2 linked regions of the Styela clava genome follow. The main gene of each other region encodes a partner of the protein of the gene in region 2 in a complex. Links are inferred from orthologs where the notes say so. Each region holds a gene or a part of one and is shown on either strand. Other genes may lie near its edges.

Evidence for each region. The genes of interacting proteins can lie anywhere in the genome.
Region 1: GATOR1 complex protein NPRL3-like (region 2) and GATOR2 complex protein WDR24-like share a complex: the UniProt entries of both Drosophila melanogaster proteins name them as parts of the GATOR complex. The link is inferred for Styela clava from reciprocal best matches to the Drosophila melanogaster genes Nprl3 and Wdr24.

What each region holds. Positions count from the first base shown.
Region 1 is NC_135253.1:6,286,888-6,295,472, forward strand, and holds GATOR2 complex protein WDR24-like, read right to left. Parts: upstream 3,610-8,585; 5' UTR 3,570-3,609; coding exon 2,971-3,569; intron 2,771-2,970; coding exon 694-2,770; 3' UTR 192-693; downstream 1-191. Other genes in the region: uncharacterized protein LOC120326470, read left to right, coding at 58-191. UniProt on the Drosophila melanogaster protein: An essential component of the GATOR subcomplex GATOR2 which functions as an activator of the amino acid-sensing branch of the mTORC1 signaling pathway.
Region 2 is NC_135253.1:12,145,344-12,153,151, forward strand, and holds GATOR1 complex protein NPRL3-like, read right to left. Parts: upstream 3,414-7,808; 5' UTR 3,412-3,413; coding exon 1,741-3,411; 3' UTR 1,399-1,740; downstream 1-1,398. Other genes in the region: uncharacterized protein LOC120325627, read left to right, coding at 526-1,398; lysophosphatidylserine lipase ABHD12-like, read right to left, coding at 4,081-5,238. UniProt on the Drosophila melanogaster protein: An essential component of the GATOR subcomplex GATOR1 which functions as an inhibitor of the amino acid-sensing branch of the TORC1 signaling pathway.

The DNA.
Region 1 (8,585 bases), about 5.9 Mb from region 2:
ATCGTTATGACAGCCTGCATTTAACCAATAACTTCACTTTCCTTATTTCTTTATTAGAGTATTGGAATAAAGCTGAAGAAAGTTCACAAATGCCTCTCATCACACCAGTACAAGTGAAGAAAATATATATTAATAATAGATTCAATTGCATGACAATTTCTTGTTTAGCCTACAAAAAAATAAAACAGTGAGATTAAATTGCTCTAGTCTGTATCACAACCTCAGTTCTCTCAATTAATCAATTAATTAACTACCTTCTTCGCAACCAGGACTGGTGGTCTGATTTAAACGACCTTGTGCCAGGATGCAGTTTTGAATGTAATGTTCGACCCACAAATCATGATTTTCCTTACGAGTTCGGGGATGGTCTGTGTTGGGCCCCATTGGTTTGACAGTCCCTTTGCACAACTTGATGTAAAGTAGGCAAACAAAATTATCTACCTCCACATTGGTACATACATTTCTGGCGCGACCAAATCTGTGCCATTGTCATTGCTATCTACCTGGGGAGCATGAGTAAACGAACGAGTCAAATTCAGAGGCTATTGAAGTTGTTTCTTTAGTGCCCAAGATGTGATTGACCGTAATTACATATGGTCATGACCAGCAACTACATTTTGAGCATAATTGACAGTGATATGAAAAAATGTGTAAAATTGCATAAACATAATTAGGTTTGTATATATACCAATTTCATTTGACTGGTAGTCTATGTCTAGAACTAGCACAAATGTGCCCACATCCTGTTGGACATCTGCCTTTGCTATGTGGATAATTAAACCAATCTTTCATGCAATCTATATGTCCACCATGACAACATCCTTGGCACCATGTATACAAACTTTTCACAACTAACTGGCACAGTGAACATTTTATACCAGCCCCCATGCCTGCTTGTTTATGATCATTATCAGAATGTTTTGAACAACTCCATGGGTTTGCAGTTGGCATTCGTTTATGGCAAATTCCGCAACAGGTGTTTAGGGTGGATGAAGTGTTCATATTCTTTATGGAAGGAAGTGTGCTTAAATTAATAATCTCAGTGAAATGGTTCCATAGTTCATAACGACTGACCAATTCCAGATATGAATTTTGCCAATGTTCCAGCAGATGATCGTCAATAGGAAGACTTATTGAGGGATAATAATGACCCAGGACAATCATTGTACATGTTATAATTTGAATGTTGTTGCCGTTGCTTATCATAGACTCGTACATTGAAGAAAGCAGTTCAGTTTTACGACTGATTGACAAAGCAGGGTTTTCATAGGGTCTGGTGTAAACCACAGGAGATACTGATAATTGTTCATGTGGAGATGAAGATTGTGAATGCAGGGAGACAGCTGAAGGGCCAGAACTCCGACTATTATTCTTCTTCCTCCATTTTTCAGGGTTATGATTCTGCTGTGATGTTGAAGATGGAATCATAACAGGAACGGCAGTTATTAGTTTCTCTTCTTCTCCACTTATAGCTGGATCAAGCTGGTTTTCAAAACCATCAGTGGCAGTTAGTACAAGTCTCTGTTTAAAAGCTTCAGATGGAAGTGTAGCATCACTGATTGTATCGCTAAGAGGATACCAATCCTGATCCATGTATCCTTCTGGTCCTGAAGAAATACCACCGTGATGACCTTTCCCAAAGTCCTCACTCAAATCATACTCATCAGAGTAATAACACTCTTGTTCAGATGTAGCATGGCCCTTTGCTATATCTGTCAGGTAATGCTCAGTCTCTGGATCTGAGTGTTGTTCGGATTCTTCTCCGTTGCTTTCCCCAGTAACAATCCCATTTTTCATAGACTCTCTCCCAGTTTTAAGACTGCTTATTTCTGCTGAGTTTGTATGAAATGTAGTAGAGTTGCTTCGTTCTGTCTTTTTTGTCGAAACTCCTTCAAAAAACCTTTCCAAATATCTCCATATGTTTGCATCAATGCTCATTTGAAGATCATCACAAACTTTTGCATTGTGTAAACATAGTTTATTAAATGCCATTCCTTGTAGCTTGTATTGCTGGGCGGCCTTGATAAGACTTGAAGGATGTACGTCCGAGGAAGTAGGAAAGTCATCTTCTTTGATAGGAGTGATACTGTGTATCCCAAGCTCTGATTTAGCATTTAGAAATCGAGCAAATTTAATATTCATACTACTAGTAGACAATGTGTTTTGTACCCACGAGTTTGTATCCAGTTTTGGAGCGACCCCAACAACAGTTCTAAAACCAAACCGTGTCATTCCTTTAGTCTTAGTACTAGGTATGGCATCATATGAATTTGTACTATCAGTGGACGCATGTCCTATATATCCTCTAGCGCTTACAGAAAGACCAGAAATGTTACAGTGTTCTGATGGGCGATGTGCATCTCTAATGGAATGTTGATATAGAGTCCCATCTTTAGAACATGAAAATAGAATTTCTGGATCATTTTTTTTCCACGCTATACCAGTTGTAACATCAGTGTGTTCTGTAAAATGAGCAAACGGCATGTATGGTCGTCTCATATCCCATACATTGATAGAATGGTCCAGCATCATTGCTACACTTGCAATCTGTTCTCGTCGTTGCGTTCTCCACCGAGCCATGGCAACTAAAGAATTTGTTGGTATCACCATATGCTCAGACATTTTGTGATCTATCATATCCCAAATTTTGACTTTATTGTCTCTGCCTCCTGTTGCAATTCTCTGTTTATCTTTGGCATCCGGATGCCAATCAATTGAATAAACAGATCCTTTATGGGCTATGAACTGCATCAAACAGGAACTTGTGTTTCTGAAATAGAAAATTATAATAATCAAACTTTTGTCATATGAAACTAGCTTATATTTCTCGGTCATGACTTGAAAATTTGTTCAACTTGCAATGGTGTTTACATTTCATGATTAAATTCAACACGAAGACTTTTGAACCAAAAGCATAGAAGATCAAAACTGATTAATTCCAACTTTTAACAAACTTAAGGCGTAATTCACCTGTAATCCCAAACTTGAACAGAACCATTGTCAAACGATGCCGCAAATTGAAAATATTCATGAGGAGAAAATTGCACACATCGAACACCATCAGTTTTACTGGAGAAACTGGCAATACATTCCTTTTTTCTCATGTCAAACATTTTCATTGTACAATCTTGAGAACCACTAAGCAATCTCCCAGGCTCAGAACTATGAAAACATACTTTTGTAACAGTCCTTTTATGATCAGTAAATATTTCGAGTTGTTTATTTCTGCCTGATGCACTTAAGTCCCATGCAATGATAGCTCCATTTGTAGCAGCAGTTGCGATTAAACTTTCATTTAAATGATTCCATGCCACATCAGCACAGCTTAAATTGAGCCCTTGTCTTCTTCCGACTCTCAAGTTTATTTTTTCCTTAAAACAAGTGTCATCTACTGAATATATTTTCAAAATAGTTCGTCCAGCAACTGCTATCATAGAGCTGTCTTTGTTTGCTGCTAGCATGTTGATAGGTCCACCCACATCAACATACATTGTGCAATGTTGGTTTGCATATGTTACTCCATTTGAGATATTAGTGCCAAAATCTGATACTATTTGATTTCTCTTCATTGTCTATACCAGTATGCGGTATTCAATGGATTTAATCAATGGACCTGTAAGAGATAAATTTATTCAGTCAATTATTTTTTATCTCAGAGTCTTAATTTTATTCAATTATAACGTATCAATGTAATGTTTTTGTGAATTGACCAACTACAGAATTTGGTACCATAATTTCATCAAGAATAAAACCATATTCTGACTACTGTAAGACCTGTCTATCTGAAAAGCTAACCCACAATTCCTGTCAGGTGTCATTCTGCAGAAATTCTGGGTCTCGTGTAGTTTCGTATCGTACCTAACGTACTTCTAGCGGGCGTAGCATAACAATTTTTGGGTCTCGTCTAGTTTCGTTCCACAATAACTTCTAGTGGGCGTGGGTAACAATTTTTGCATTTATGATTCCTGACTGCGTCATCCAAAAATTCGTCACTATCACGAAATACTGAAATAGAGCTTGCCAAAGGGCGACGAACACCCGTCACAGTGCCTACAAGAGTGCAAGTACATGCCTCTCGTAGGATCGTTTCGCTGATCTCCTAATTAACAAACGGAACTAAAGCGAGACACCTATTTTCACCAAGCAACGTTCACGGATCCTCATCTGAACAATTTCGTGGGTTGACACTGGATATATTAATTAATTTACATTCACGCAATTAATCTAGTTTGGTACAACCGTAAATATATACTACTACGGTGCAACACACCTAAGGACTTGTTATTTTTAAGCAATAGGTCATGTATTGTGCCACACTTTATCAATGAGGTGCTATACGTTTTCACTCTAAGAAAGACTTCAGACAAGCAAAAAGGGACATATTAATTTACGTCCACGCAGAGGGTGTAGTTGGGTACCACACACATAAGGACTTATTATTATTTTTCACTCTAAGCAAGAAAAGTGCATATTAATTTACGTTCACTTCGGTACCACACACATAAAGACTCATTATTTTATGTCCAGCGATAGGTAATGTATTTTGCCACACTTCATCAATAAGGCCTTATACGTTTTCACTCAAAGCAAGGCTTTAGACAAGTAGAACAAACATATTAGTTCATGGTCACGCAGGGGGTGTAGTTGGGTGCCGGTTTTATTTATGGCACCTCAGAACTCGGCATCATCATAGCAAATTAGGTATGGGGTTACGGTGACAGACTGACAGCTTTGTGTGTTGGTCGTAGCCGCAGTAGAGCTAAATGACTCGTTTGTTTTATGAATAAACTTTTTCGTGTAAAAGTATGTAAGCGTATTCTTGACGCCGATCGAGCAGTGATGTTTTGCAAGTTTGAATCAACGCCATATGCGTGGCATACCCATGAGCATAGCCCTGAAAATGTCGTTTCGTTTAACTTCAGGCAGAATTTCCAAGATTGTCGACTACAATTAGTAAACTAGAAAATATATGTAATATATATTAATGTACGAAAAAAATTTCATGCAGTTAGATACTATGCAATATACAACAATCTTTCAGCTAAATATAACAGTATTTTTTGTCACAAAATTTCTTATTTTTCAAAAATAAGGAAGTCTTGTAAATAGTGTATTTAATCAGGAGTGTGCAAACTTTCCCGCCGGCGGGCCTGATATCAATACTTGGGTAAAACCGCGGGCCGCACCTTCATTTAACATAGGCTTTCTAAAGTAACAGGCACAAAATAATGTCTTTTTTTATTGATCTTATGGCATTATTATGGGTCGTTGCAAAAATGATGAGTTGACGCATAAATTTATCAAACTGTTATTCAAATTTATTGTCACTCCAAATTTGAACGAATTCAGTGGGAAATTTGCTGCTGGGTTCTTTTCCCGACTACCTTAGCCAAATTTGCTTTAATGGAAATGCTAACAATTTGATATTCATATTTCGAGGCTTCGAGAGATGTTTCCGGTAAAAATCGCCAAGATTAATTTCCAAATAATTTGCTGTCAAATCTTATTCTAAATTAGATTTAGACAAAATCAACTGATAGGCTGAAACCAAAATTTATTTAACTTTTGTATTTTTTAATAATATCAATTAGGAGATATAGGACCCTGTAACGCCATAGGCATAAACAGTGAATTGGGCTCGGATACGAGCTTTGCAACGCACAGGGAACCAGATTATAAACTGAATTACACAATTTCGATGGCCACACACCATCAAAAATTGGCACTTTTCCGCGAACCACACAAATTTCCCTTGTGGGCCGCGGGCGGCACTTTGCACAGCTCTGGTGTATATGATAAATAAACGAAAGGTATTGAATTACCTTACACAGTACCTGATAAAATATATTATTACTAATAATATAATTGTACGGGTGGCAACAGACTCTGATGACCCCAAAAGGTCGTATCGTTGTCTCCCAGTCATACACCAAAGCATCTGTTTATTTATTATTTATATATTTATGCATGTATTGTGTGTTTCATGGTTTGGCAAATAACAAACTCTCTTTCTCTCTTTCTCGCCCTATAAAATTGATAATTAGGAATATTTTTGTTCTTCTTCCATTCTTATGTTGACTACCAAATGATTGAAAATTTTTATGTGCTATTAACTTTTCCTAATTTGCGTCAGAATTTTATCTCGTGACCCACATAACAATATTTTGCCTTAGTGGCTAATCAGGGTCAGGTAATTAATGAAATTTGGTCTTACTTGTCGGACATGATTAAATTATTATCATAGTTGGTGCCCCAACAAAGTGGCCTCAAGATATACTTATGTAATAAAAAAAATCGGGAAATTATAAATATTTCAGACCGTTGCGTTACTCAAAAACGTATATTTTCATCGTGTAATCGCTTGTCTGAACATGAGCAGTACATAGGAAGCATAATATTATAAACAGATTGTTTCAAGTTGTAGATCGCGATCCCGATCAGCGTCGCTTTCCGCAAAATGTTTTTGCAGTCAATTGTAGTTCCAATGAAACTTCTCTTGTGCAGCTGTTTTTTGCGTTGTTGGCATCAAAAGACAATTATGTGGAGTGGGCAGATATAAACCGTCGGAGGTCATAATCAAACTGACAGAATTGGTTGCTACAATATAAATGTCAGCAGATATTTTCTTTATTATTCGACACTCAACAGCAGGATTATGAGGTTCGAGGACATGTGTAAAATTATTTATTAGACTGGTCCCATACTGAGATCTAGTACGCTACTGATCATCAAAACAAAACCGAGCCAGTATAAAAATAAATAAATATTCGGTTTTCAATGGGGGCGCCGCGCTGTTAAACATAACTAATATATGATTGAATATTTTACATATTGAATTTTTTTATTAAATGTTTTATTGTTTCTCATTTTAAATGCTGTGTATATCGGGCAATAAATTCATTTACCTTTCTATGTCGTTTACTTTCTGTTACGTAGTGTTATGTTACGAACACAAAATTAGGTTTTATTGAAAAGAAGCATTGTTTCCGTGTAAGTGCGCCGTGACTTTTTTTTGCTGATAATTTGGCGCCGCATGAACAAAAAAAAGTTTGGGAACCGATGAGTCATACCCAGAGCAATTCAATATTGTTTTATATCATTTTATAATGCTAACATTGTGTGGGAAAATAGATCTCTCTTCGCCATGTTTCGCATTATTTTTCATGTTTTTCCAGAGGCATTGCATGAACATTGTCATACAACTTAATTTTGTGCTGTTTTTGGTAAGTGGTGAACCGATGTCGAGGAGTTGCCAGGTGGCGGTGTTGAGTTGCCTAAATTCCAAAATTCACAAAATTTGTGATGTTTGGTGCGAAGCCTGTTTAGAGTTGGTGCATCAAAAACCCGCTTAGCCGGGGGCAGCTGCTTGTTATCTGTCTGTCTGTAATATCTGCTGAATAGACTATGTAGTATACGTTGGTTTTCCAGTACCGGTATACGGCCTCGATGAACCAGGAACTGTACGGTACCGGTACCGGTATGTCATTTATTTTTAGAATGTGAGTAGCCTAGAATATAAATTTTTGGCAAGGGTGTTGCATAGAAAATAATTATATATGTAACGTTACATTAAAATGCTATATTTATAACGAAATAGGGAAAATCTTCAATACAAACGGATATATGACGAAAAATGGATTATCATCACTGGGTTTGATATGTATTATTGATTGTTTATACTGTTTTAATTTCTTCGATTACCGGTACCGTAATTGGAACGCAATACATGCAATTGTTTTCCAAAAGAAAAAAAAAAAATTATATAAAACAAAAACTGAAATTGGCTCTGGAATTAAATTTGGCAAAAAAAGAAAATAATCCAAATATTATTATAGCAAATGATTCGAAATGCAAATCCTAATTAATCACCTAAATGAAAGAAATCCTAAATTTGCTAAAAACAAGCTCACAAGTCAAGTCAATACATAGAATAGGATAGGATTTTCAAATTTATCCGGGGAAGAGGAAAGCCCTTAAGACAGCTTGACCATATGGGGTATGGGGGACCACGGCCTAGTCTGGTTACCATTCCATGTCGGGTATGGGATTAGTTGGGTACCGGTATTTTATTTTCGGAAGCATGAACTTAATATACAGATAAAGGTCAATCAGGATGTTAGTTTCTGTGCAACGGCAATTAACATTATGCTTATTAGGTATCTTGTGAAAGCTATTGCAATTTTACGATTTGTTCATCATTTTCATTAGATCGAGTAGTGTTTGAGACATACTGACATACGGTAGGTGGCGAATAGGAAGACTCCAATATAACAGCTTCGTATTTTCCTTATTCTCTGTCCAATTTTTGTATTCTTGTTGCATTTTCCATGCAAAAAATAAGTATGTGGGCTTGTGTAATTGCGTAGATTGAGAATATTACACTATATCTGATGCACCGATGCTTACGTTGGATGTGTTAGCCAAGAAATTTATACAGTTCAGCAGTTATATTGTTATAAGGATGTTTTGTTATGCTTAGTACCCTTACCATTTCGGTATTGTTGGACTTTTCTGAGTTTGAATAACGTCAAGGATAAATACCTATAATTTTACTGCATTCGTAATTTATATCAGTACTGCTGTAC
Region 2 (7,808 bases):
ACTAAACGTGTCCGATTACCGTATCAGTGGTACCGTATATTGCGAGCATAAATCTCTCTCTTTCATAGTTTTGGGGCTGCTGCTTTTCCGTAGCATTTCTTTATGCACACCGGTAGTGCGACCATAGATTTTACATAACATTGTCTCTGGTGCGGTTGACGGGAAAACCAGCTTACCGGAGTGGCTAGATTTGTCTAGCTAATGTCTGAATGTTGGTCAGTTCCGGTAATCCCTCAAATCTCACATAACATACGTTAGGGTACAATACCGGTATCCTCGACCGAAAGCCAGAAAAACTTGAATCAGTATCCTAGAATAGAAACTAAATCTCTTTGTTGTAACAATAAAGTCACTGAATATTAAAATGACATTTTCAATTTTTGCTCAAAATAGAGGGATAAGACTTTTTGTTCATATGCATTATTTACTTGTCCTACAAACATGTTCCTCTCGCTATGTTTAAAACAATTGATAAACCATTTTAAATTGCACAGATATTGAAAATGTAGCTATAAGGTTCAAGTTATGGAGTCTAATTTGCTAGAATCACTGCCTAGGCATGATGTTCTGTATCATAATGTATTCAAGTATTTATCTATGATCGATTTATTCCGGCTACGTGCAGTATGTCGACAACTTCACAATATGATGGAGGAATATTTTTCTCAATGCCATCACATCCATATCAAAGACTCTGATGGTATAGCGGATGCTACCACATTTGAAATATTAACAAAAAGCAATTCATCACTCCGGACCATTGTTATCCCCAATATCGGAGATTGGATAGACGACAACCTTCTTGTTCCAGTTATAAATGACTGCCCCAATTTATCGATCCTTAATTTATCACAATGTAAGGGTTTAACAAATAGAAGTCTATGCATATTAGGAATGTACTGTGAAAATCTTACTCATTTACGTCTGAAGGGTTGTACATGGGTTGACCACGACAATTTTATGGTGTTCATTTCCAACAACAGAAAACTGAAACTACTGGATTTACAGAAATGTTCTTTGCTAGATGATGAATGTGTGGAGTTCATGTCCAAATGCTGCCCAAACTTGGAATATTTGAACATATCAGAAATTAACCAATTGACTGACCAAAGCCTTGACGCCATTGCAAAAAATTGCCGCAAGTTAAAGCATTTGGATATCATAGAGTGCTGGAAAATGACAGATTCTGGTGTAAAGATAATAAAGGAATATTGTCAAGAATTGGAGACACTTAATTGCGAACACTGTACTAGCATTTCCGAGGATACACTCGAGCCACTTCGTGTCAGAGGAGTTAGCGTAGACATTCAAGGACGCTTGGAAATAACTCTACGAAGACTGGAACATGTGATTGACTATCTTTCTCCTTTAGTTAGACAACTAAACCACAACCTGTAATTTTATATGGAGCAATATATATTAGTATTTATAAAGTACCATGGACCTGCATTTTTTTTACTATTCAAATAACAGAAAGTCGCAAATGACCACCAGCTACATAGAAAAGAGTATTCACTATTTCAATAACAAGCAGCGAAGCAGGTGTCTCTAGAGTTAATGGAAACGAAATGTAAGTTTTAGAGCTGGTTAATCATATTTTGAAAACTATATATTTCGATTAATGGCAAATTGATCATAAAATTGGGTACTAATTCAAATTCTTGCTGTTGATGTAGTTTCGCCAATAAACCAGTTTTCTCAAAATGTAAATTGTAATTGCATGCATAAAGTGAAGACAATCTATATCAAACCCATACAAAACGCAGCAGTAGTTGAATCTTCCCTTGAAGTTGTTAATAAAACAGGTGAAAATTTATCCAACAAAGCCAGCAACTGAGTTCTTGATAAATTTTCATTATACATTATTTCTTCCATGTGACAGTTTCCATCAAAATATTTCAACAAATTTACAAATAATCTCAAATCTTTAGCGCTATTGGATGCATGGACATCCATAATTGCTTTCCTTTGCTTCCAGGGCAATCCTGCAATAATTGAACGAGTCTCTGTATTTTGAATCGGAGGCTTCTGCTCGCTCATAGTAGACTGTTGGTCAGCCTCAACAGGGCAGAAATATATAAAAGTGTGCATTTGTATTAAAAACCGATGTTGCAAGAGCCAAAACACAACTTGAGCTAGCTTATCTTCTTCACCATAAAATAGTCCGTGTGGAGTTTGGAAATCACTAAGACGAACTGGTAGTGAGAAATTTGACAACACATCCACCATATCATGGTTGAACCTCATGTAAAAAGATCTCGCTGCTTCTGAATTTGGATTTAGTTCTGCTGATGGCGCAATAACATAGATATTTGAATCGCATAACGGATATATAATACACGCTTTACCCCAATATACCAATTGTGACGTTAAAGTATAAATTTGAGTTAGCGGCAAATCTGCATCAGATGCAGTACATTGGAGCGATTTTGTTGGTTCGTAAACTGTTAATAATCTTGTAAGAGATGGAGTATAATCATCTGGTAAAGTCGACCATATTTCCTTTTTGTCAAATATGAGAATGCCATGATATGGCCTTATTTTTTCTATAGCTTTTTCAATGAAAGAAACAGATATTGTATTTTGTCCATACGAAGCCATATTATGAACTTTGTGAGGCAAACAAAAACTAATATGTGTTGAATTGTTTACTTTAACAGACAGGATACCTGTTTGACAAATACTATTGAATATGATGTGAAGCTGGTCGGCCAGGTGGGATTTTTCTAATATAGTTTTATAGGCGTGTTCAGGCTCTGCCATACACTCAGATTCTAAGGACATCTCGTCATGCACTGACAGCATAAGCCTTGTTTCGTGGGTCAAGTAATCGGAACATTTTTCTTCAAATCGCAAGGCAAGACCAAGTTGTAGTGCCAACTCTTGGTACTTTTCAACTATGGTGTACTCCGCTACCGCTTTTAATACAAACACAATGTTGAATGACAAAAGTGTAGAATCTTCCTTTTTCTTACAACCTTCATGCTCTTTGATGTTTTGCCTATATTTTTCCAAAATATCAAACTTTGATAATACACTGCTGAATTGGTCAATAACCAAAGGGAAACCTACAAAACGGATTCCATTCGTCTTTAGGTCAAACTTTTTTCCACAAATCTTGGTGTTTCCAGGACTGAGTATAGTTGCTAGTAGTTCATCACTGAAAGAATCCAACTGCTCTGCTTCATTTCTTGGTGCCTTTTTTACATCGTCCGAATCATCAGACACTGACCCATGTTGCCTGTTTAGATGAAAAGTTGATGATGTCAGTTGTTTGTAGGAAGACAATGGCTGAGTATCACTTTGAGATTTATTGTATGGATATCTGAACAACAGCTTACTGGTTATTCTACTGCCATACATTGATAACATGATACTTAATGGTATCCATGGTTGATCACTTCCACTCATAACTGAAAACACTGAAAAAAATAATTACAGTATTGAGAACCCACTGAATCAAGTTTTTTTCTAAACAATATTGAGTAAAAACCCGAATTTCTCAGTAGAAAGCCCAGTCATAAAAGTACAAACACCTCTGACCAAAAAGTAAAGTAATGAAAAAAACTGCACCCTTTATTTACAAAATGCAGTTTGAATACAACTTTCATTATTAAACAGAGAAGTAATTTATTGTGACTTTGTTGTATGTCATGATAGGTGCATTTGCTTAAAAAATAATCCACAATGTCAAGTTACCATACGGCATATAACACAATTTATAAATTAGTACTAATGTCAAGCTGCTATAATTTTCAAAACGTTCAAGAGGTTTTCTGCACAGATAATGAAGTAGTTTAGCTTCGAAGAAATTTATTTTTTGAACTTTTTGGTTGAGATCACAAATCTTTCGTCAAAAGCTCTTGCAGCTATTTACAAATGGCATGTCACTCGAGTTGAGGAATGTGATCCATGTCATTTCTCTATGCCTGATAATCACAATATATGAAGAATCATGTTATGAGTCACAGCAAACTAGGGACATGCATAAATTCCACTTTGTATTTGGGTATATATTGATAACGAAATTAAAAAAGAACCATTTATGAATTTGAGCAACGAGATAGGCTTTTCCTCTGATCACAAAGTAACAACCCTGTCTGAATTGTCTTTGTCTGTTAAAAAGTTACTGAGTAATTGAGGCAACTCTGGTGCCTTGTAAATATCCATGTGCCCGTATCCATGAGATGCTTTAAACTTGACAAATTCAATTCTTTTCCGCCTGTCTGTTTGAGTCGCTTTGCTTACTGCAACATAAAGTTCATCACTATGTTTGCACTTTATATCACTATCATCCTCCGCATGCAAGAGCATGATAGGACAATTCACTTTTGATATATCATTGATAGTAGATAAAGAAATATCCTTAACAGTTAAAGCATTCTCAAGAACAAAGCGAAAAATAGATTTAGGATAAATAACCATAAATATCTGTGAAAGACTGCTGTCCTCCGCTCCTTGTCGAACATTAGTGAGAGCTCCTTCCAAAATAAGATTGTCAATTTTATAACCAGTATTCAGATTATGGTCTTTCTCACAAATATCAGCAGCTTTTTTGGCTGCCAGTGTTGCTATTGACGATCCCAATGAATGTCCCCAGTATGTTAGTTTGGCGTTGGTTGCAATGCTTCCCCTCACCCAATTGAGAATGCATAAAGAATCGTTGACTAAGCCCTTTTCCGAAGGCCAGCCTGTTGAATCTCCGAATCCTCTGTAATCGAATGCAATGATGTGATATCCTTGAGATTGCAGCAATTTGTATAGTTCCGGTCTTTGGTAATGGTCCCCCGTTCCTCTTGACATACCATTACCATGATGGTATACAATAACATGTTCTGCATCTTTAAGATGGGTACGAACTACATCCGATGTCAATACATCGTCTTCTTTATATTCTGTCATTTTAGATTTTGGTAAAACATGCCAAACCCCAAGTTCATCATTGTCACATTGCATTCGAAATGAGGCTGTACCAAAGAGTTCATATTGAGTACTTGGCTGTGATAAAGATGCAGGTTCATTCTTTGCATAGTATAAATTCATAAATACAATTTGCTCTACTATTTGTGGTATAAAAGCCAACATCAAAGGTATTGCTACATAAAGCATAACAGTGAAGACAATTATTGACTTTACAACAGTTTTGCTTCCGCATGATGTATCATCTATACTTTCATTCGAAACTTTCACTGTTCCATGTTCTTTTTTATTCCCTTCATTAGATTTCCGCTGCCGCATACCAAAAGTTTTATGCTAGCAAATACAAGACACTGTTAAGAATCAACATTATATTAAATAAAAAAAAAACATTGCTCATAAACAAATCTGTAAAACTTGAATCAAAAAATATAAATTGACTGTTTAAAATGATACTAAACAAGCATGGAAAGAAAATTTTTGATTGTCCTAACATCTTTGAGAAGCTGTGGAATTTCAGGTGCATCTATATGCCATAACCATGTACTGCATAAAATTTAACAAAAGTAACTTTTTGGTTTTGTTTCATTCCATGTGTGCGAGGAATGACATCTTTACATACAAAAGCATTAAAGGGCAGCGAATAAGTGGTAAATTATTATCAGTCACTGGGAATCTATTTGCAATCGAAAATGATGGATCTAATGCTTTACTGATGATGAATACCCGAAAAAAGGAATTATCTGCAGATCCTCTTCTGACATCAGCAAACCCTCTTTTAAAACAAGTCCTTCAATTTTGCACATTCGACAAACAATTTTCTGGCAGCAACGGATGCGATTGATGCATCCAAAGAGTGCCCCGTAACAACACTGTCTTAGTGTTCATTCTCACACACTTGAGCAGGCATAGTGAGTCATTGACAAGACTCTATTCAAATAGCCATCCAGTAGAGTCTGTAAATCCTGGGTAATCAAAATCTATAGTGCAGTATCCCAGAGACTGTACGCTTGTGACATTCCAGCACTATGGAGATATAGTATAAAAATCCACGGATTCCATAATCAGCTGATCACAACATTTTCACTAACCACTTCATCTTCAACATGGAGATATAGTATAAAAATCCACGGATTCCATAATCAGCTGATCACAACATTTTCACTAACCACTTCATCTTCAACATGGAGATATAGTATAAAAATCCACGGATTCCATAATCAGCTGATCACAACATTTTCACTAACCACTTCATCTTCAACATGGAGATATAGTATAAAAATCCACGGATTCCATAATCAGCTGATCACAACATTTTCACTAACCACTCCATCTTCAACATGGAGATATAGTATAAAAATCCACGGATTCCATAATCAGCTGATCACAACATTTTCACTAACCACTTCATCTTCAACATGGAGATATAGTATAAAAATCCACGGATTCCATAATCAGCTGATCACAACATTTTCACTAACCACTTCATCTTCAACATGGAGATATAGTATAAAAATCCACGGATTCCATAATCAGCTGATCACAACATTTTCACTAACCACTTCATCTTCAACATGGAGATATAGAATAAAAATCCACGGATTCCATAATCAGCTGATCACAACATTTTCACTAACCACTTCATCTTCAACATGGAGATATAGTATAAAAATCCACGGATTCCATAATCAGCTGATCACAACATTTTCACTAACCACTTCATCTTCAACATGGAGATATAGTATAAAAATCCACGGATTCCATAATCAGCTGATCACAACATTTTCACTAACCACTTCATCTTCAACATGGAGATATAGAATAAAAATCCACGGATTCCATAATCAGCTGATCACAACATTTTCACTAACCACTTCATCTTCAACATGGAGATATAGTATAAAAATCCACGGATTCCATAATCAGCTGATCACAACATTTTCACTAACCACTTCATCTTCAACACAGTTTAAAAACAAAAATATCATCACAACCGCCTCAAAAATAATTCCATACTGAACAGAATGAGTCACTAGCGTTTTTATGACAGATTTCCATCCCATCTCTATTCCTACTTTTGTTTGGTTGAGTCTTCACAACTGGCAATCTCGGTCTAGTTTATTAATAATTAATTGACTAGAAACATATTGGTGAAACACAAATTATGAAAAATTGAAAAAAAGTGATGAATATAAAATTATTGTCTTGAATTGATGATAATATTTGAGCAATAATACAGACACTTGAAATTAGAATTATAAATTCACTGAATAATAACACCTAACAGTGGCAAATAATTAATTTCCTAGTCAAAATAATTTTTTTTTAGTGACATTAATCCTGCGATTACCATTATAAAGATAAAATGACAATTTACCGTTGTATTCGAAGAGGGCCATAAGTGAATTACTTGTGATTAAATACTGATGTTCAGGTCAAGGCAGTCGGTGAACAAAAGACTTGAACTATAAGTTCTTTCGGATGTTAGAAGTCTAGGGAGTAGGGCATATTCAAAAAACACGAGGTATGTTTTACAGACTGGAGGATATCTGAACAATAATGTGGGAATGCTTTTATGTGATGTTTCAATAATACAACAATTAATTTTTCATTCAGAAATTGCGATAACACTACTGATAAATATACTTTAGAACCTGAGTATATAGGCCACAAGTGAAAGAACAGTCAGACTACTTGCATTTAAATGGTGGTTCACTAACTGCCTGTAACCTGTATCGAAGACATCACAAGCAAAATCTATGATGTAGTTATAGTTGACAAAAACATAAAATAAAGTGACTCTACATTATTATTGAATATGCAATATTCACAAAGTATGATTATTTTATATGCAATAACACACTGTATAATAAATTGCACAACCACTATAA